Mus musculus: one gene and its partners. The protein of the gene in region 2 interacts with the protein of the main gene of each other region in a pairwise test. Links are inferred from orthologs where the notes say so. Each region holds a gene or a part of one and is shown on either strand. Other genes may lie near its edges.

Region 1 (5,306 bases), on a different chromosome or scaffold from region 2:
CCGGAGCTCTTGACTCTAGCTGCATATGTATCAAAAGATGGCCTAGTCGGCCATCACTGGAAAGAGAGGCCCATTGGACACACAAACTGTATATGCCCCAGTACAGGGGAACGCCAGGGCCAAAAAAATGGGAATGGGTGGGTAGGGAAGTGGGGGGGAGGGTATGGGGGACTTTCGGGATAGCATTGGAAATGTAATTGAGGAAAATATGTAATAAAAAATATTTTAAAAATTGTTTCTTAATATCTCTCTCCCCCTCTCCCTCCCCCTCCCCCTCCCCCTCCCCCTCCCCCTCTCCCTCTCCCTCTCCCTCTCCCTCTCCCTCTCCCTCTCCCTCCCTCCCTCCCTTCCTCCCTCTCTCTCCTCTTCCCTCTCATGATTTGATTTTTTTAACTTTTAAACTCTAGCCTGTCTGGCTCCATCCTCAGCTCATCCACCCAGCTTTCCCTACCTGTTCTTCTTTTCTGTTATTGCCTCTGTGTATTGACAGAGTCTATTATTACTAAAATGCATTCCTTCGAGGCAAGGCATATCATTTATGTGTTTAGACTTGACTAGCAATGCCACCATATAACAGTGCTATACTGTGAAATCAAGAATGCTGAAATTACAGAGCCAAGTCTGTCAGCAGGAACAGTTTAATACAGTCTCCACGTGGTCTGCTGCCCTGGAAAACCACCACACTGTTCTGTAAGTCTGAAGCTGTACATTCCTGCCCACCCTGCTCCTAGGCTTCTTCCTTCCTAGCTCCTCCACTAGCTGTACACCGAGATGCCTTTGTTAACTGCGTTATAAAGGGGTACTATCCTTTGTCTACATTTTATGATCCATTCTTTGTTTTCCATGGCTCATTTGCTCCCTGATTGAGGGTCACACTCTCTCCCTAAAAATTTCACCCCTGGTTTAGGGTTGTTCATGCTTTTCCTTGCTGGCTAACATTTCACCTGGAATTCCTACTTGTTTTCCTGATCAAGAAGACTCACACACACGCACACATGCACACACACGCGCGTACACACACACACACACACACACACACACACACAGAAACAGAGAGAGAGAGACAGAGTGGGGGAGAAAGACAGAGAGAGGGAGAAAGACAGAGAGAGAGAGAGAGAGAGAGAGAGAGAGAGAGAGAGAGAGAGAACATGACCCTGCTAGAGTTAAATAAACACGGAACCAGGTACCATACGCTTGCCTGTCAAACTCATTTTATATGAGTTCTTCTGGCTGGCTAAAACACACAGACCTTTGCACCTGGACCTAACCACACCTAACAACTTTTGTCCTGACAACTCAGACCTTCATTGTCTACTTTTTAACCCTCTAGGAGACTAGCCACAACTGGATCACATACTAAAATTCTTTTTGGCCATACCTCCTCCAACACACATGTGAAAATCGCATTCTAAAGCAAAGGTAGAAAAACATCTGTTTTCAGAGTTTCACCTCAAGCACCTCAAGCCAGCTGTGCCACCCCTCCCCCCCACCCCACCCCGAACAAAAAACTAAACAAAAGAAAAACCCAAAAGCATCCGCGGTTGACAGGGACTGGACTTAAAACACAGATTCTGATTTTTACAGATCTTGATGATTTGGGTGGGTGTGGTGGTGCACGGTTTTTTTTTTTTTTTTTTTTTTTTTTTTGGGTTTTCGAGACAGGGTTTCTCTGTGTAGCCCTGGCTGTCCTGGAACTCACTCTGTAGACCAAGCTGGCCTCGAACTCAGAAATCCGCCTGCCTCTGCCTCCCGAGTGCTGGGATTAAAGGCGTGCGCCACCACGCCCGGCGGTGCACGGTTTTAATCCCAGCACTTCCATGCCTGGCAGGCAATCTCTGAATTCTGAGGCCCGCTTGGTGTTCAGAGCGGTTCCAGGCGGGCCAGGACTATTTAATAAGGCAGTGTCTCAAAACAAAACAAAAACCACAAACAAAAACGAACATCTTTTAGCAGCCTTTATTTTTCACGCTCAGCACAAAGGTGCACAGTGTCGCAGGGTCCAATGTCCAATCCTGGGACTGAAATCAGTGACTAAACATCAGCGCATCAGAGGGCTGGGACCGCGAGAGCACAGTAACTCGGAAGGTTTACCCAGCCCAGCCTCCCGCAGCCCCTCTCTCCCCTTGCACCCCGCGGCTTCTAACCCCGCCCCTGCCGAGACCCCGCCCCGATGCCGACGTCAGTTGTTATGTCTTGACTGGGGCCGCGGCTACAGCGGGTCCAGTGCTCTGGGGGCGACGGCCGCGGCCTGCAGAGGCGGCAGGGACGGTGGCCGCGGTTGGCGCGGCGCGTCCGCACGGGGCTGGGCACCGCGCGGCTACGCAGCTGACAGGAAGCCGCCCGGGAGAGCCGCGTTGGGGCCTAGCGTTATTTGCTTTTTCCTCTTTTTTTCCTCCCTTCACGACTGTCGTCTCGCGCTCCTCCTCAGCGGGAGCCGCCGCGACGCCCCCTCGCGGGCCGCGGGGCCTGATAGGCGCCGCCCGCGGGAACCTGGAGCTGCCGCCAGGCCTGGGCGGCCGCCGGGGCCTGAAGCCTGGGCGTTCGGCGCGGCGCTGCGGCGGTCACTCCAACCCGCGCTGGGCGCGCCGGGCCCCGGGCCTGGCCCAGCCGAGTACCGCGCCCTCTGGACCACTCAGTCCGGCCCCAACCGCCCTCCGCTGGCCCGCAGTCCCTCGGAGCTGCCTCCCGGTCACCCCAGGTGGGCTCTTGCCCTCTTCCAGCCGTCCGCAGCTCGATGGGTGGGGTGCGTTTGAACGTCCCCCCTTCTCCCTTTCTCAGCTCCTGACCGCAAGGCCAGAGCCGGGGCTCTCAGTCGCACGCACGCCGCGATCCACCTGCCTCCCCGCGGGGATGGCCCGCCGGTGACCGCCGCGCGCCCTCGCTGCCCTCGCCCAGGCTGCGCTCTGTCGCCCCGCACTCGATCCCCTTCCCTTGTCCACGGCGTCCCGGCTCCTGGCGACGCCAAGAGGGCGAAGATGTGGCTGAAGCTGTTTTTCTTGCTCCTGTATTTCCTGGTCCTGTTCGTCCTGGCCAGGTTTTTTGAGGCCATTGTGTGGTACGAGACTGGCATCTTTGCTACTCAGCTGGTGGATCCGGTGGCATTGAGCTTCAAGAAGCTGAAGACCATTCTGGAGTGTCGAGGGCTGGGCTACTCCGGGCTGCCGGAGAAGAAAGATGTTCGGGAGCTGGTGGAGAAGTCAGGCAAGTGCTGGGCTCCTGGAGGTCGCCTCCACTGTCCTGGCTCTTACCCACTCCCCAGAATTAGGCGGTCCCCAGAATGGTTAAACAGACTGCTCCAGAGAGCTGCCCAGGTCATCTTTGTCTACGTTTTCTAAATAAATATGTAAATCTCGGTTTGGAAAAGACAACTGTTAGGTGTATTGGTGTGTTCCAAAGGCTCTTTGGAAATGACAGTTTGAAAGTGTAGCTTTAAAAAAAAATCATTAAATTGAATCATTTGTCCCAGAATTCAGGAACGTCAGTTGAAATTGATTATAGAGAAAGGAAAAATTACAAAACATAGTCTGTAAATAGCAGCATCTGCATCCACAATAAAAACAAGCTACCAGGAGGGTAAAACATCATTAAAATAATAACAAAAGGCACGTGGACCTAAAGATTTACGTGTAAATTATGCATTTAATTATAGGTAAGGTGTACACAGTGCAATATTGCTTTTTATACTTTAGTGAACATTTTGTGTGGCTGTTGGCCTTGTTTAGAGTAAATATTTTCTTGCAGATTATACATTTTATTTTTGAATCTTGACTTACCTTTCTTGTCATGTGTCACAGGCATCTCTGCGTCACTTAATGGGTTGAGGAAAAGACTTGAAATAGTGCTGAAAGAATATTTAATGTAGCCGTTGATTTGGGGTAGGATTGGGTGGGGAAATACAGTTAACTTTAAAGTGTCTCCTTGTTTAGATAGTTTTCCTGAAAGAGGAATGTAAATTAAGAAAGGCCTTCTGAGGTGATGTAGGAAGCATTGGAAACTTATGATTATCTTGTTTTGTCCTTTCAAGTATATCATCAGCGGGGCCTTTTAGAAGACCATTTTTTCCCCCTTGGGTAGTACTATCTAGACAAATAGTGTGATAGGCAAGATGACAACGTTTATCAGTCTGACACTTACATACTTATAGCATAAGGGTTACAGAACTCATCTCGCCAGTGAGATAGAAGGAAGGAGTCCTTTGCGTAAGGGATACATTTTTCAAGTGGTTATTATTATTGCTCTTGTTTGCACCAGGTTTATGCTGCCATTGGTTGTTGGGGCTGGGGGGTGGGGTGGGGTGGGGGGAGTGGGTTAGCAATCTCATACAGTTATTTGATCACACAGGCTTTCCCCTTGGAGCTTTATGTTAGATATTTTGCTGCCATTTGAGCCTAAAATTGTTGTCATATGGAATGTACAAAGAATCCACACATAGCCTAAAGACTATACAACCAAAGTATGATTCAGATCACACATTTTAACAGCATAAGAACAACAAAAAACAGTCTTGGTATGGCAATTTAACTGTGAAACCTAAATGTTTGTTGTGGATGGTTTTGCTGTTTGGAATGGAACTGGAATATCACCATGTAATATTTAAGGCAAAGGTTAGATAATGTGACATGAATGGTTTGCTTTTTTATATTTAATTATACAAGAGCCACGTTTACACTGTAAACTTGTCTATGAATGTGGGGTTTGTTGTTCTGATAGGTAACATTCTTTCTCTCCCAGTCACATAAAAACCTTGTTGCCATTTATAAGCAGGCTGATAGCAAATTCTGTGAACCCTTTTCTAAACCTTTCGAGTAACAACATAAACCAAGCTTTGAAAAATCATGTGAAGCCTGTGCAGGCTTTATGTAAAATTAAATGATTACTAATTTGAGAGGATTTCTTTTTGGACTGATGTAATTAGTAATTTACTAACAAGCTATATGATGACCCCATTAGAATATATGCACTACTATAAGAGATGAATTGTTGTCTTTTTTTTCATTTTTTGCTGATGTATTCAAAAGCTATTGAATTTTGTAGAATAAAAATATAATAGTGTGCTTATTCATGATGTAAAATGGTATTAATCATTGAAGTTGAGAACATGGGATTTTTGAAACCTTACCAGGGTTTTTATTTTTTCCTTCAGGTGACTTGATGGAAGGTGAACTCTATTCTGCTCTTAAGGAAGAAGAGGCATCTGAGTCTGTTTCTAGTACCAATTTCAGTGGTGAAATGCATTTCTATGAGCTTGTGGAAGACACAAAAGATGGCATCTGGCTGGTTCAGGTAGAAAGGATGATAATACTTAA
Region 2 (4,776 bases):
TATCAGTGTTCTCAGGAGGATTTGTCATTTGTACGTAAAGATTTGGATCGGATAAGGTATCTTAGATCAAAAATAGAAATAATTTTTTAAACTGTAAAACTAGAGAAATTATGCTTCTGTTTAGCCATTTAATTGCTTTCTGGGGAAGTGTTCTGGTTGAGCCCAGGCCTTCACATATACGCTTGGCAAGGGCTCTAGAACTGAGCCATACCCCCAGACCTTTAATAGTAGTTTAGTAGTTTAATCTTCTGGTATTCTGAAGTAGTTGAGGAAATTTCAGTTTCAGATTATGGCCCATTACATCATTGCATAGTCTATTCAGTATTATATAGTTTACACATTACTAGGTGTGCACAAAAGAGTATTGAAATGTGTGCACTTCATGACTGATGCAGCACACAGCAGTCACAGCTGTGCTTGCAGTGTAAGGCAACTACTTTTCTAGAGTTCTTGTGTTTGCCATGTGATGGATTGCCTCAGGTTTAGGATACATAGAACAATTTCTCACTGATTTCACATCTCTTAAAAGTTTGCTCACAGTACCCTACCTTGAGAGCATCTAATCCTAAGAATGCTTCTTTCTGTTTCCCTGCTTATACATAAGCCTGCTTAGCTAGCATGCTATATAGCACATACTTACAAGGTTTTTAACTTTAGATATATTTTAACTCAAAGAAGCAAGCTGAGAAAGAATACAAATATTAAATCCAATAATAAGAATGTTAAAGTCAAATAAGAAAACCCAAGAAATATACTCAGGCTTTTAGAGCTAGACATGAAACATAGAGACATAAAATTTCGGTATTCTGTTAAGTGACTTTATTGCTCATAAAAGGTGTCTTAGCCGTGGGGAATGATGCTCTCCACTTACAAGAGAGAGGGAGAGCAGTCTCAATGTCCTGTGAGTGTGTGAGAGCTATTTGGACAGACTTACTGGATGTCATGAACAAAGGGACTAGGGATGAGGATGGTCATGTCATATGTAGTGTCTGTTGATGCTTTATCGCTGTGCTTCCTGCTTCTTCCAGTACTGTGCTGTGCATATTTGTCTTATAAGCTTCTCATAGAAAACTTTCAGTCTGTTAAAGGCCTGCATTTAGAAAAGCTACCATGGTTTTGAATAAACTCTAGGATGAGCTGATGGTGATGAATGTTGATCAGAAGTACTGGGTCATGCCTTTGAACTAGGTAATGATAATAATAAATTGTATTTGAAGTGTCTGTTTTTTGTGTGTACTGAAGTTTGCTCTTGACCATGTCAACAACAGTTTTATTTCAGTCTTAATTTAAGAGTAACCAAAATGGATCCTTTTCAAGAGGACTTTGGATAAAACTCTTTCTCTTTATCTCTTCCCTTCCCCATGTATGTGTGTTTTACCCTTGATGGTGGTGGTGGTGGTGGTAGTGCTGGTGGTGGTGATGACTCTAGTCACAGGCAGTCTCGTTTTTCAAAAGCATGTCTGAGCTGAAGCTATATGATACTCAAAGTGATTACTGGTGACTTGAGGCCCTGTAGAGTCTGAACATGACTTTTGTCAGTTTCATTCTAGGTCTGTCAGCTTGTTAGGTCATACAGGATGTGATAGTAAGGACCAACCTGGGGCTGATTATAATACAATGAGATTGGAGAAGGGCTATCCATTTCTCAGTGCATTTTTGTGTCACTATCTAGGTTATAACGGCTACCTAGGTATCAAAGTATTACGGGAATTGAGTTAGTCATCAGAGCTGCTCCAGGAGCATGAACTCAAAGCAAAGTGAATTCTGAACCTCTAGGGAGATTTCCTCCAGACTGGGAAAAAAGGAATCCTTCAGTGTCTCGGTACACTCTCTATCTGTTGTGCAACATGGTTGCCTAGTCGAGCTGGATCAGAGCCCACACCCTCCTAAGCTTCAGTTCTTATTTAGGATCACATGGTTTCTGTTCTGTTATCACAAAGGTTACTTAAAACAATTTCCCAGCTTAGAGGATTTTAAGCTTGGCTCAGCTCTAAGGATGTATTGATTGGATATTAGCGTGGCAGTACCACTCTCTCTCAGCCCTGTGCCTTTTTACACCGACTTGTCAGGACACTTTGCAGGTCTCTTTACCTGTCTGGACATCTCATAGCTGAGCCCAAAATGCTTCTCCCAGTGCCTATAAAAATTAGGCTCTCAGTCCTTTCTCTCCCCCCCCCCCCCTATTTAAAATACTTATTTTATATTCTGTGTATCGATGTTTGTTTGCATGTATGTCGTGCACCATATATATGCCTGGGTGCCGAGGGAGGCCAGAGAGGGTGTCATATCACCTGGAACTGGAGCTATAGCCCATTGTGAGTTACCATGTGTGTGTTAGGAATTGATTCCAGTCTCTCTGGAAGAGCAGCCAGTTTTCATAACCCCTGAACTCTCTCTCCAACCCCTTCTGGTTTATCTTGTGCCAGTTCTTTTGAGATATAATTTACCTTATAAAAGTAACCCCCTCCATTTTTGTAAATGCTGGCGGTTGAACTTTGCTGAGTGTGCACTGTCCAAAATGCCCCTCCAGCCCCAAGGCTGCCATCTTAAAAGGTATAACTTAGCCTAGGGATTGCAGGTAGCTCAATGGCAGCACCTGCCTATCATGCCAAGATCCTGAGTTGAGTCCTCAGCAGTACAAAGCAAAGCAGAACTCCGAGGCTTTTCTACTATAAGCACTAGTTAATTTAAGAATATTATTATCACTCAGTAGAAACTTTCTGCCCATTAGAAAACACTTTCCTGTACTGTCTCTACATTCCCACCATGTACCTGTCTAGACATTCCTTACAAATGAGCTTGTACAGTCTGGTCCTTCTGGCTGGCTTCGCTCACTTAGCATAAAGATTCAAGATCTTTCTGCTGAAGCTTGCAGATGCCAGACTTCATTTGTTTCTGTGCCTGAGGTATATTGTCATGTGGATGCACCATGCTTTACCCGTCAATTAGAGAACATTTGAATTGTTTTTACTTTCTGCCTTGTGAATAAAATTGCTACCAACATTTGTTTCTAAATTTTCCATGAATGCAGAGAAGAGAGGTTTTAGCAAACCCCAGAGTTATTTGTTCTATAAATGGGCAATTCTCATTTTTATACCTAATTATACTTCTTTTGTTTCATGGGCTCTGTTTCTCTTCATTATGAACATACCTTGTTGTAGTCCCTACCACAGCAGAATAAATGACATGCCATTCTTTAATCCAGGATCTAAGATGTCCACTGAGGCGCAGAGAGTTGATGACAGTCCAAGCACTAGTGGAGGAAGTTCTGATGGAGATCAGCGGGAGAGCGTTCAGCAGGAACCTGATCGAGAACAAGTTCAGCCTAAGAAAAAGGAGGGGAAGATATCCAGCAAGACAGCCGCGAAACTGTCAACCAGTGCCAAAAGGTAGCCAGCCGTTGTTAGCACTTCATTTGAATTTCCTTCCTTGTACTTAGTTGATTTTCTGGACTGAAGGTCATAGGGTTTATAGATTGTCTCCCCTTTTATATGATGTGGTCTTTTAAAAATGTGCTTTTTAATTGTGGAAACCTTTTTAAAGTCATGGCATATTATAAAATTGGCACTTGTAGTGTTTTGAAATATTTATATCTTGATAGAAAATGTGGGTAGGACATTATAAACGTATAATTTGATTTATGGTTATTTGATTGTGAATATATGCTCAATGACACAGAATTGGCATTGAGAATCTCTTGGCTGGGGCTGGGGAGTGAGGCTGATGGCTTAGTGAGAACAGTGTTGGTTGCTGAGTTTAGATTAGCATCACCCATATAAAAACTGGGAATGGTATGCACATTTGTAATCCCAGCGCTCTGAGAGGAGGTGTGTGTGGTATGTGTGTGTGTGTGTGTGTGTGTGTGTGTGTGTGTGTTGGACACAGGTGGATTATTATAGCTTATTGGCAATCAAATCTTGTCCAGTTAATGAGCTCCAGATTTAGTGAAGAGATCCTGTCTAAGCAACAATGAAAACTGAACCAATACAAACAGGGAGTGATAGGGGAGATAACTTCTGTGGCTAACACATACATGCACATGAACACACACAATCTGTTGAAGTAATTATTAAGTGATAATTTAGTATCTAATCTCCTTGTTGGTAAGGTCAGAAATGCTAGTATTAATGCATCTTGAGTTCATTACATTAGGTGGTAGTGGTGGTGGGTTGCTCCTGATGCAGATTTCTTCTTTCCCTAGAAGACAGAAAGATCTTGAAAGAGGTACTTGGATGTTGGTCTATCACTACTTTAACCACTTACAGTGATTGGCATGTCGGCGGGCTTAGAGGGAATCTGATTTGATAAGGTTACATCATAGCTTGGTGCTTGGAAGATAATTTGAAAGGCAGATTATATTCAGTGGACTCACGTTTGTTTGTGATTTTATACTCTTTAATACATTTTAAAAAATAAAAATACCAAATAAGAAGTAGGGCTTAACATTAACATTAACATTAACATTCTTTTCACTACACATAACTTCAGGTACAGGAAACTCTCCGAATGTTGGATGACAGCTTTATGAGCCATTGGATAATAGGAATTATGGAACTCCTTTCCTATAAAAACAAAAACTGTGTGTCCTTCCAACTTCTCCTATCCACAGGCCTGGGATGAATCTTTGCAGGCCCTCTGGTGAGAGTTATGGTGACTGGTCAGCAAGCCATTTAAACCAGCTAGATGTAGGATGTCCAGCCTTTTGGTAGCATGCTCTACAAATGTTTTAGACCACAGTCCTAGCTGTCCTAGATGCATGCAGCCTGTCCCTGTGTA
Region 3 (5,356 bases), on a different chromosome or scaffold from region 2:
CAAATGAATCAAATATACTTGTTTACACACTTGAGGAATACTATGTAACAAAACCTCAAAAGGAAAAGGGGACCAAAGGGAAATAAATGCAACATGGGTAAAAATTATTGGTTAAGGTTTAGCATGTGTCCATTACTAAAGTCTTTGAGAAGTCACATTAGACTAATAGCAAAGTAAATCTAATGAAGCAAAAGATCCTAGGAGCATCAAATAAAAGAGGGAGCAATACAGGGATGGTGTTGATTCCCCATTAGAAACTTTACAAACTACAAACAATACTAGGATCCTTTTCCATTAAATGCAATTCTCAGGCTCTTACATAGTGATCCTTAATTTTCAGAAATGTGATACAGTTCACAGCACCCACGTAGCCACGTTCACATCTATAACTCCAGTAACAGGGAGTCTGAGGCCACCGATCTTCTGGCTTAACAGGTTCCAGAACACACAATGCGTGCTCTTACATAGATATACATACATAAATAAAATTTAAAAAATAATGTAAATTCTCGTTGTGCCCACTTTTAACTCCACTCCTTGCTCAATCTTCTGTGGTGTCTAATGCTGAAATCCACCTCATACTGAAGGAAACTTGACATTCTAGCAAAGACGTGGCTGTTACCACTAGGGGGAGAAAAACACCAATAGTATTTGTTACCAACCCTTAGCCCAAGGGTTAGACACTTTACCTGGATTATCCACCAGGTGTCAACCAAGAGAAGAAAGTTGCCCCTACCCCCCACCCCGGACCAAATACACAGATGTGTAATTTTATGCATAAAAAGCTAAACTCTTCTTGGCTTTTCCAGTAATTATTCTTCACATAGTTATATTTTAGGTTTTTTTTTTCAGTTCAAGTGTCAAGTTCAATCTAACTAAACATGTAGATTTTTTTTCTTTTTTAAATAAAGAAAACAGCAAGATGAATGTGTTTAGTTTGTTGTGATTCGACCTATCCAGATTTATCATTCAAAAAAAAAATCTAATGTTTAACTATGGACAACCAACCCCCCACATTTTTTGGTTAGGCATAATACAGGATTTTATAACATAGCCCTGTTATGAGGTTATGTTGATTGTTAATGATCTATTACCCCCTAAATCCTGGTGATGTTTATGACTGAGTATTTTACTCAAGGCATTAAAAAAGGAGAAATGTGCCTGTATTTAAAGATGCAGCACGGCAATTAGCATGTTGAATTAAAAGTAAGGCTTAACAAAATTAAGCCTCACTTATATAACAAATCATACTTAAAAACCAAAAACCACCTTATATGCTTTCCTAAGGCTTTTCAGTCTGTTGTAAACAATGTCAGCTAAATGACTATGTTCAAACCGCCTCTTATGAGGTGGTAATTAGGGGTGTGAGCTCTATTCTTATTCCTGATACAGGAGTTGTAATCGAGTCATTCCCTGCAAAAGGAGCAAAAGGTGATGTCTTGAAAAAGGACTTTTTCTCCCTTCGAGGAAGTGGTCAGGCCTACACACTACACAGACAACTTGATTGGGTTTGATGCTGTAGGAGCTGAAGACGGGAGCTGCCTGGAGCATTGTTCTTTGGCTCCTCAGGCCTTGGCTTAGTCCATTGCCACCCAGCCTACAAAGTCCTGCTTGCTTTTGTTATTTCTATCCAAGTCAACAACGCTTTCTTCTATGAACAATATTTGTCTGCTTTTTATTACGTTTCTTTTGAAATTCATTAGCTCAGACTCGGGCCACCAACCGCTTGCCCAACTGGTTTCTCCCCTTCCCCCACGGCTCGCACGTCCTCCGGGTCCGCGGCCCAGGCGCACACTCCTGGCCTGGCGCCGCCGGGTCCCTCTGCTCAGCTCCGGGAGCGCGTGCGGGGCCGGCGCTGCGGCCGCGGCGGGGGTGGCGGGGGTGGCGGGGGTGGCGGGGGTGGCGGGGGTGGCGGGGGTGGCGGGGTGCCCGCCTGCCAATCGCAGCGGCCCATGCACCGAAGTCGGCGGCGCCCGCTCCACACCTACTGTACCGGGAGCGTGCGGCAAGAGCCGGGCGCGCGCCGCGCGGGAGGGAGCGCGCTGGAAGGCTGGCCGCAGTCGCAGCCTGCGCCTGCGCACTAGGGTTGTTTTTCACAAAGCTGCTCTTAAAGTGAGCTGGCAGCCTCCAGCCGCCCGTCTTTGTAAGGAGACCACTGAGACGAGCAGGAGCGTGGAGCAGCGGCTTCTCTGCTGCCCTGACTTTTTAAGAAATCTCAATGAACTATTTGTAGACAATCACTGATCCTGCCTGCATGATTTTTTTTTCTTGCACGGCAAAGACACCCATCAGTGTTAAGTGAAGATCACATCTTATATGCGATCTTGACTTTTTTTTTGGTCTTACATTATATTTTTATAGATTTTGTTATAATCATGGTGCTGGGAAAGGTAAAGAGTTTGACAATAAGCTTTGACTGTCTTAATGACAGTAATGTCCCCGTGTATTCTAGCGGGGACACTGTCTCAGGAAGGGTAAATTTAGAAGTTACCGGGGAGATCAGAGTAAAATCTCTTAAAATTCACGCAAGAGGACATGCGAAAGTACGGTGGACGGAATCAAGAAACGCCGGCTCCAATACTGCCTATACACAGAATTACACTGAAGAAGTAGAATATTTCAACCATAAAGACATCTTAATTGGGCACGAAAGAGGTAAGTTTTTAATTAGTCACTACATTCGACTTCTTTGCATGAGAACTTTAATCTCATTTAGTGCAGTTCTAATCGGCAGTTTGTTAAAGGTTAGCAAACTTAGAAGCTGTAGTTTCTCCTTGACGTTCAAGCGTGTTAAGCCTTAATCCATGCAGGCGTCTGCAAAGTGAGTGCAAACTGCACTTAACTACATCTGTAACCGGCTTCATATCTGCCATACGCACCTTACAACGTGTTTAAATGTGACTCCGTCGTTTTACTAATATTTTCAAATTCATTTGCAAAAGCTGCAGTCCGATATTGGATTTCCTTTATTTTACAATCTTAGATACAGAAATGAGCTCCAATAAAGAACTGTAGTGACATTTAAGAAGGTTGCTAGATGTATCTGATTTTGATATTAACGTGCAAACGACTTTGAGGACTTGATTATTGTTCTTTGATAAAGGGCTTCCATCCCTTATTTTGACATATGGCACCAACACCCCCACGTGTTTTCCCCCTATTTTTCCCAATTCCCTTTAAAATGTACATCAAGCATCGTTTATTTCAAAGAATAATGTCTATCATTATGCAAACTATTAAGTCAGTTTTAGAAGCCATTCGGGGTCAGTGATTTTCTTCTCGGAGCATCATGTCTAACTTTGGAACGTGGATTCAATGAAACCCATGGCAGACAGATGGAATTGAAAAGTATATGACACATCGGATTTGGGTTTGGGGTATAAGACGAAGATTGAAGCATTGTCAAAGGGAGAAGGGGTCCTGAGATTTGCAATCTGTTGTTTAAGTGCCTACATTGTGGAAATACAGGCGACTCCAAGCTTGTTTTTCTAAGTTTCCACCCTTTGTTAGAAGCGGTTCAATCCTGTTTCGGACCAGTTCTGGGGGATGGTGAGGAGGGGCGCTTGTTCTCCTCTCAGCAGATTGGTTACACGCGTCAGGTGGTGGCGATGACTTAATTCCTAGTCCAAGAAGAATATAATGTTAAAACTGGTTATGTAATTTGTTTCTCCTTTCTAATGCAGTATTTTAGTGCAAATACTGGCGACTTTTCAGATAGAGGAATACTTTGTTTTTTTTTAATATCTAAAATGTACATCCTAGGGAGACGTTAATTGAACTTAAGGCAAGTGGGAAATGGAGGATGCTTTAAGTTACACAGAATTAATGTATCGTCTTTTAAATATGAAGGCGAAGCCAATTCTTAGGGTTTACGCACCTACACCAGGGTATTCCAAATACTGAATGGTTCCCTAGTTCTTTTTTTGCAGCGTCCACACGGATGGGGCGTACAATGCCTAATGACAGCGCTCTCGTTTTTTTTTAAAAAAAAAAAAAAAAAGGGCAGGCACATGAATTTGCTTTTGAGCCTGCTTGGACGTTGCAGCCTTTAATGAAATAAGAAGAGACAAAGACTTTTGCCTCGAAGAGTTCAGACTTGTAGTGGGGGGTATAGATAGAGAGTTCTGTGGACAAACACTTGATCCATTGCACCACGATCTCACGGTTAGGATAACTACCTGCACCCTGCGAGGTGCCCCGGCAAGCCTGGCTACGCGTGGACGGGCTCGCAGGGCTGGAATAGTTTCAATGACTTCAAACTGGCAGCTCGCTCTCAAACTAGCCTGGTAGCTGAGCGCCCGCCCCAGGCGCCCGGCGATAGGCGGAGCAGCGTTTGTTAGCCTGTTGCTAAGGCGATGCCAGGCGTTGATTGGATTGGGCTGGTGGGGGTGGGGAGGATCAAGCCGGCTCGCGCCGGTTGGGGCGAGGCTTGGAACCGGCGTGCGCCGGTAAAGGTCCCTCCTGGCCCGCCACCTCGGCTTCTGGGCGCGCCCCTCGCCCAGCGCAGCCGCCGCAGGTGCCATTGCCTTGGGTGCAGGCTCGGTTCCCACCGGGGACTGAGAAACGTGCGGGCGTCAGGGTCGCCCCGGGGCTGGTACCTGTCTGACCCGAGGGGACGTGACAGAGGCTGGGCATTGCAGAGAACGCTGCGGCCAGCTCGGCCTCGCCCATTATTCCCCCCCGGGCCTTCGCCTCCCTGCCGCCGCCCCAGTTCCCCCCGGCTGTAACTGTGTAGGTGTCAGGGTGGCCTGAGCCAGATTGAACCGGTCACCGGCTGGGGCGTGGAAAGCGGAAGCGCGGCGCGCGGTGGCCCCGCCCCCGGCTCAGCAGGCTAGGCTGCGCGGGCGCGAGCGCCGCGCGACGTATGCCGTATGTATAGCGGGGCGCGCGGAGCGCGGGCGCGAGCGGGCGGGCCGGCTGAGAGCTGCTCAGCGCCGGTTTAGGCCGGTCCTCTCCTGCTCCAGTCTAGTTCTTGATTGACAGCCAGGCACTTGTTTACCACGGCGCGGCGGCCGCCGCTCGCCTCAATGAGACTGCTGAGCTGGCACAAAAGGGAACCGGGAGGAAGAAAGGGAGAGGGAGGCGAAGTTTGAGCGCCTTGGAGGGAGCGAATTGACGGGCCACGGTCCCCTGGCCGGTCCTCAGGGCTGACACTTAGAGGGGCTCCCCAGGAGGCGCGGGCAGGAGTGTGCAGAAATGGGCGGGTCACGATGATTTGGGGAGGAAAATCATATTTTGTATGTATTTTCAGTACTTAGGTGAAGTGTAATGATGCAGCGCCAGCCCCCACCTCCATCCCATTCTAATTAAAAAGGATTGCCCATCAAGTAACGCTAGTAAGACTTTGGTATATTAC
Region 4 (5,281 bases), on a different chromosome or scaffold from region 2:
CACGTGGTTGCTAGGATTTGAACTCTGGATCTTCGGAAGAGCAATCGGGTGCTCTTACCCACTGAGCCATCTCACCAACCCTTACGTTTATTTTTATAAAATTTTATTTACTAATTTTTTTTTCAAGACAGGGTTTCTTTGTATAGCCCTGGCTGTCCTGGAACTCACTTTGTAGACCAGGCTGGTCTGGAACTCAAAAATCCGCCTGCCTCTGGCTCCCAAGTGCTGGGATTAAAGGCATGTGCCACCATGCCCGGCTACTAATTTTTTTTTATATATGAATGACTGTATGTATGCATGTATCATGCCTCTGGGGTTATGGATGGCTGTGAATCACCACATAGGTGCTTGGGATGAACCTGGGGCCTCTCTAAGAACAAACGCTCTTAACCCCTGTGCCAACTCTCCAGCCCCTAGATACACACACGCAATTTGGTTTTTTGTAACAGAGTTTCTGTGTGGCCTTAGCTGTACTGGAACTTGGTTTGTAGACCAGGCTGGCATGGAATTCAGAGATTGTCCTGCCTCTACCTCTCGAGTGGTGGGATTAAGGTGAGCACCACAGCCATGAAAATTTTTGCATTGGCTTTTCTTTTTCTTTTCTTTTCTTTTCTTTTTTTTTTCGAGACAGGGTTTCTCTGTATAGCCTTGGCTGTCCTGGAACTCACTCTGTAGACCAGGCTGGCCTCGAACTCAGAAATCCTCCTGTCTCTGCCTCCCAAGTGCTGGGATTAAAGGCATAGGCCACCACTGCCCAGCTTGTTCGAAGCTTTTAGCTCACCCCCAGCACTCTGTGCTTGCAAACAACCATCTTTCTGTGGCCTTCCAGGCTAGTCACACTGGAAGAGACAAGTCTATTAGCCCCTTTAAATCTCCCTCCAATTCCATTTTCGGAAGCACGGAGCCCACTTGACAGAGTGACAAGAGAAGGTCAGGTTAGTGACTGGGTGATGCTTACGGTGCTCAGAGCTGAGCACTTGAAAAATTATTTGCTCAAAGAATAAGCAAAGTGAAAATATGAGAAAGACTGGGACTGACCTGGCAAGGTGAGTCTCTGTTGCAAAATGCAATTTGGTCAACAAATATTTATTGAGTACTGTGCCCTTGCCTTGTGGCTCTATGTCAAAATATGGCTCTATGTCAAAATACATGATAAACAAAACAGCAATCGGCCTTGGGCAAGGAGTTTCTAAAACAGCTTTCCCGCTGCATGGTTCTTACTTTTTTTTTTTTTTTAATCCACCTATTGATTTTGAGGATTATATTCTAGCCTAAGGAATCGATTCAGACCCAAATAGTTGGTTCTGATCTAACGACAGCAAAGTCTAGGCGCCACTGGGGCACTGTTGTATCTCCTAACAGCTAATCCCAAATGTGTTTGGGTCCAAGCTGATTCCCTCCTCCCCCCCCCCCCCCGCCCCCCATGCTAAACTTCCTAAGGTTGGCTGGGGTCCTTGGATGGAGAACCTCCAAACGAATGGACAGCATATCCACCAGAGGGTGCTGTGAGGGCAGGTCTGTGGCGGGAGGGGAGCTCCCCCAGTGACCCTTCAAACCCAGGTAGGCTTTATTAGTTGGTTTTTCTTTCTTCTCGGTGTTTCCTTCCTACCCGCTAAAACCGTCGTTACCCCTCCCCCCACTCAGGGTCTCGTTTTGAAGACATTGATTCGACTTTCGCCGCGACTCCAGCAGAGCTGTGATCCAGAGGAAGTCTGACCTCTGTCGCAGACGCCCGGCGGCTGGAGACGTCCTGTCCCTGGACCGCCCGGGGCGCAGGCGGTAGGTGGGTGGGGACCTCCAAGGCCGCAGCTCGCTGCTGCGCCGCAGGGGCCGCGAAGGGGTTAACCCGGCGGGGGGGGGGGTGCGGGAGGAGGGAGGGGGCGCGGGCCGCGCGTGCGCTCTGCCGCCCTCCATTGTCTCCACGGCGGCGAGGAGCGCCGGCGAGCGCAGCCCGGGACGGAGCGGGGCGGTGCGGCTGGCTGGCGGGGCCGGCGGCGGCTGGAGCCGGAGCGCGACGCCACGCGACCGCGGCTTCCAGAGCTCCGCCTGGCTGCCCCACCGCCGCGAGCCCTCCCGAAGCCTGGAGGAGTGAGGGCCGCCGGCGCGGGCTGAGGAGTCCTGAGACGGGGGACGCGAACGGCGCGGCGCCCGGAGCCTCCGCCGCTTCCTGCTGCGGGCGAGCGGCCTCCTCCGGCTCCTCCCTCCCTTCGCTGCGGCTCCTTAGGCTCCGGAGCCCGGGGGCGGCCTGTGGCGCGAGGCGCCGGCTCTGGACCGCGCTTCTTCGGACCTTAAGGGGAACATGCATTCGGCTTGGACAGTTTGAAATTCTTAGTTTGGGGTCCCCGCTCGCTTGCTTTTTCCACCCCGCGGATTTTTTTTGAGGATTCCCCCCCTCACCTTTTTTCATTTTTCTCCCCTCGGGGCTCTTTTGTGACTCTCCCCAACCCCAACCCTCCGCCTTTATGTTCGCCCAGACCTCCACCCGCTTCTGAGTAGTGGGGGAGGGTTTCAGCCTCCACGTTCCCGCCCCACCGGGGCCCCGGCGAACATGGGGGGCAAGCAGAGCACGGCGGCCCGCTCTCGGGGCCCCTTCCCGGGGGTCTCTACGGATGACAGCGCCGTGCCGCCGCCGGGAGGGGCGCCCCACTTTGGGCACTACCGGACGGGCGGCGGGGCGATGGGGCTGCGCAGCCGCTCGGTCAGCTCGGTGGCGGGCATGGGCATGGACCCCAGCACGGCCGGAGGGGTGCCCTTTAGTCTCTACACCCCCGCCTCCCGCGGGACCGGCGACTCCGAGAGGGCGCCGGGCGGCGGAGGGTCCACGTCGGACTCCACCTATGCCCACGGCAATGGTTACCAAGAGACCGGCGGCGGTCACCATAGAGACGGGATGCTGTACCTGGGCTCCCGAGCCTCGCTGGCGGATGCTCTACCTCTGCACATCGCACCCAGGTGGTTCAGCTCGCACAGTGGTGAGTCCGCGGGTGACGGAGGCCTTGAAGGGTGGAGTGCAAGGGAGGGCGCGCCGGGGCGCCCGAAACCTCTTAATGTGCTAAGGTATGGGTATGAAGCTAACTCCTGCCCTTCCCCTGGTTCCTTCCATGTCAGAGGATGAATAGGATCAAATAAGATAACTACTGCCTAGGGGGAAAGCTGCCTACTAGGCGTGTGGAGCCGGGTACCTTAGGACTGCAGGCATGTGTTCACTTGTGGATGGCTGAGTGAAACCTGCCTATTGAGGTCGCATTTATTAGCGTCATGATCCTCAAAGGTCTTCTTGTCTGAGACTCTTCATTTCTGCCGCTGCAGCATGGTACCTACCTTTCTGGTTAAGGAGGTAGTGTCTCCTAAACAAAGAGTGAGAAAAGAAATAAAACTAGGGGCGAGTGATTCTTGGATTAGGGTTCTTATTCTCGCTAGGAAAGGGAGGTGGTTTGTTTTTCCACCCGACTGGTTTGCTGTATCAATTGTTTAAAATGGAACAGGAGGCTGGCTTAGACAGGTGTGGTCTGCTATGTGGAAAGCCTCCGTCTTTGGGTTTGCAGGACCAGGATTCTGGTCTGCATGCAGTAGATTTGGCTCAGGGATTCTCACATCCCTCCATCTTTTTTCCCCTGCTCCACGATAAGTGCTTGTTCTTCCCGTGATTGTGCATCTTTTTTTTTTTTTTTCTTTTCATAGAGCCCAGGAGAGGTGGGGTGGTATTGCCCCACAGCTGGCACATGACTAGGGAAGAGGAAGATGGAAAGGATGGAGATGAACTCATTCTGTGCACTTCTGGTGACAGGCCAGGAAAAGGCTGGAGGGGGATTTCCCAGGCCCTGGCTGGTGGTAGGGCAGCAAAGGCCTGGCAGAGACTTCTACAGGAAAACAGGTCTGTCTGCTTGGCTGTCCTGAGAAGCCAGGGCAGGCCTCTAGAAAACTGGTCAAAAGGGGTGTGGGGTTGCTGCTTGTTAACTACCAGTCTGAGTGAAGCAGTTAAGTATTCAGACTCTTGTGCCTGAACTGGGCAATTTTTGTTGCTGTGTAGGAGAAATCATTCTCCTGTCCTCAGGGTCCATTATGGAGGGCTTACCTGTGAGGTCACTGTTGTAGCTCATTGCAAAACAAGGTAGGGTTTGTTTTGTCTTGTTTGGTTTTGTATCTTTCCTTCTTTTGATCAATTCCATAATTTTTGAAGTAACTTTGGTGGGTTATAGTGGCTGGCTTAGAGCTTCTTTGACTTTAACTAAAATGCTGGACATCAGACACAAGGCATGTCTGCTTTTGGTACCCTCTAGTCATTTGGTCTGTGTTGGGCATGTTGGAATTAATAATCTTCCCTAAATAGTTGAGTCCAGAAGTCTCAGCTTTATTTCGAGACGATTATGAGTACACTTGTAAGTGAACTGTTATTGGCATGCTTTTAAAACAATTTTGAGTGCAGCAAGCAAATACCTTTATAAAAGCTTATATGGGGAGGGAGAAAAGGAGTTATCGTTTTGGTAAGATTTCTTAAGTCTGTCTCTTAATAGAAACTTCATTATCCTTGTTCTATTGTCAGGTTCTCTGATAGAGTTATGAACTTACAACTGAGTTCCAATATCTCACACTCTCCAGATATGAAGGCTTAGTGTTCTCCCCACCATCTTACTCCCACCCAGTCACGGGAGTAGGGAGTCCCACTGAGTGATGGGAATACAAGAAAAGTTAGAGTCATCCTTTGGGTGTCTTTAAAGTGTACGTGGCAGGCTCTTGTTAACATTATAGGTAATATTTGTATATATTTACTTATTTTTAGTATATAGAACCACCTGTGCTTTTTGCAAGACTCTGGGCCTATTGAATGCTCCTGGCATCCTGCAGTTCACCTCATACTGCCTCTGAATTCCCAAATGGCTTTTATTGGGGTGGGTGTACCAGTCTGACTGTGAGCTGCCTGTGCTGTTCAGCAGAGGTGAGCATTCATTTGTGTCAGTGTTAGAACAGGCCGTGGAATTTTCTGGGGCATCCTTTTCTCTTGTTCTTGGCTGCAAGGAGAGACGCTGCTGTTTCGCTGCTGTCTCGGCTGTGGAGCCTTGGAGTTAGGTCTGAGCAGCTTTTGCTCTTGTGTAAGATTCCAAAGGTGGGGCTTTCAGTGTTTGACTGACTGCGGGCCTGGAAACTGGTACAGTGTTAGTACTTGGGTTTTCAAGGTGCTTTGGTGACTCCTCACAAGCAGAGAGCTGTCATTAAAGAAATAAGTCAAAGCTGTGGGCTTGTGCTGTGTTCCAAAGTAGAATACTGAGGGCTTCCAGTTTTA

The links.
Region 1: the proteins of Ube2e2 (region 2) and Rnf103 interact in a two-hybrid assay, tested with the Homo sapiens proteins (2 studies listed by BioGRID). The link is inferred for Mus musculus from reciprocal best matches to the Homo sapiens genes UBE2E2 and RNF103.
Region 3: the proteins of Ube2e2 (region 2) and Arrdc3 interact in binary tests that used the Homo sapiens proteins (3 or more experiments, as listed by UniProt). The two-hybrid records come from large-scale screens. The link is inferred for Mus musculus from reciprocal best matches to the Homo sapiens genes UBE2E2 and ARRDC3.
Region 4: the proteins of Ube2e2 (region 2) and Znrf1 interact in a two-hybrid assay, tested with the Homo sapiens proteins (2 studies listed by BioGRID and IntAct). The link is inferred for Mus musculus from reciprocal best matches to the Homo sapiens genes UBE2E2 and ZNRF1.

What each region holds. Positions count from the first base shown.
Region 1 is NC_000072.6:71,491,688-71,496,993, forward strand, and holds the start of Rnf103 (E3 ubiquitin-protein ligase RNF103), read left to right. Parts: upstream 1-2,189; 5' UTR 2,190-2,975; coding exon 2,976-3,201; intron 3,202-5,143; coding exon 5,144-5,283; intron 5,284-5,306. UniProt on the Homo sapiens protein: Acts as an E2-dependent E3 ubiquitin-protein ligase, probably involved in the ER-associated protein degradation pathway.
Region 2 is NC_000080.6:18,886,879-18,891,654, reverse strand, and holds part of Ube2e2 (ubiquitin-conjugating enzyme E2 E2), read left to right. Parts: intron 1-3,205; coding exon of another isoform or gene 3,206-3,213; coding exon 3,214-3,389; intron 3,390-4,776.
Region 3 is NC_000079.6:80,881,275-80,886,630, forward strand, and holds the start of Arrdc3 (arrestin domain-containing protein 3), read left to right. Parts: upstream 1-2,147; 5' UTR 2,148-2,375; coding exon 2,376-2,655; intron 2,656-4,394; exon of another isoform or gene 4,395-4,516; intron 4,517-4,820; exon of another isoform or gene 4,821-4,869; intron 4,870-4,880; exon of another isoform or gene 4,881-5,356. UniProt on the Homo sapiens protein: Adapter protein that plays a role in regulating cell-surface expression of adrenergic receptors and probably also other G protein-coupled receptors.
Region 4 is NC_000074.6:111,534,593-111,539,873, forward strand, and holds the start of Znrf1 (E3 ubiquitin-protein ligase ZNRF1), read left to right. Parts: upstream 1-2,047; 5' UTR 2,048-2,548; coding exon 2,549-2,972; exon of another isoform or gene 2,973-3,057; intron 3,058-3,709; exon of another isoform or gene 3,710-3,741; coding exon of another isoform or gene 3,742-3,874; intron 3,875-5,281. UniProt on the Homo sapiens protein: E3 ubiquitin-protein ligase that plays a role in different processes including cell differentiation, receptor recycling or regulation of inflammation. Mediates the ubiquitination of AKT1 and GLUL, thereby playing a role in neuron cells differentiation.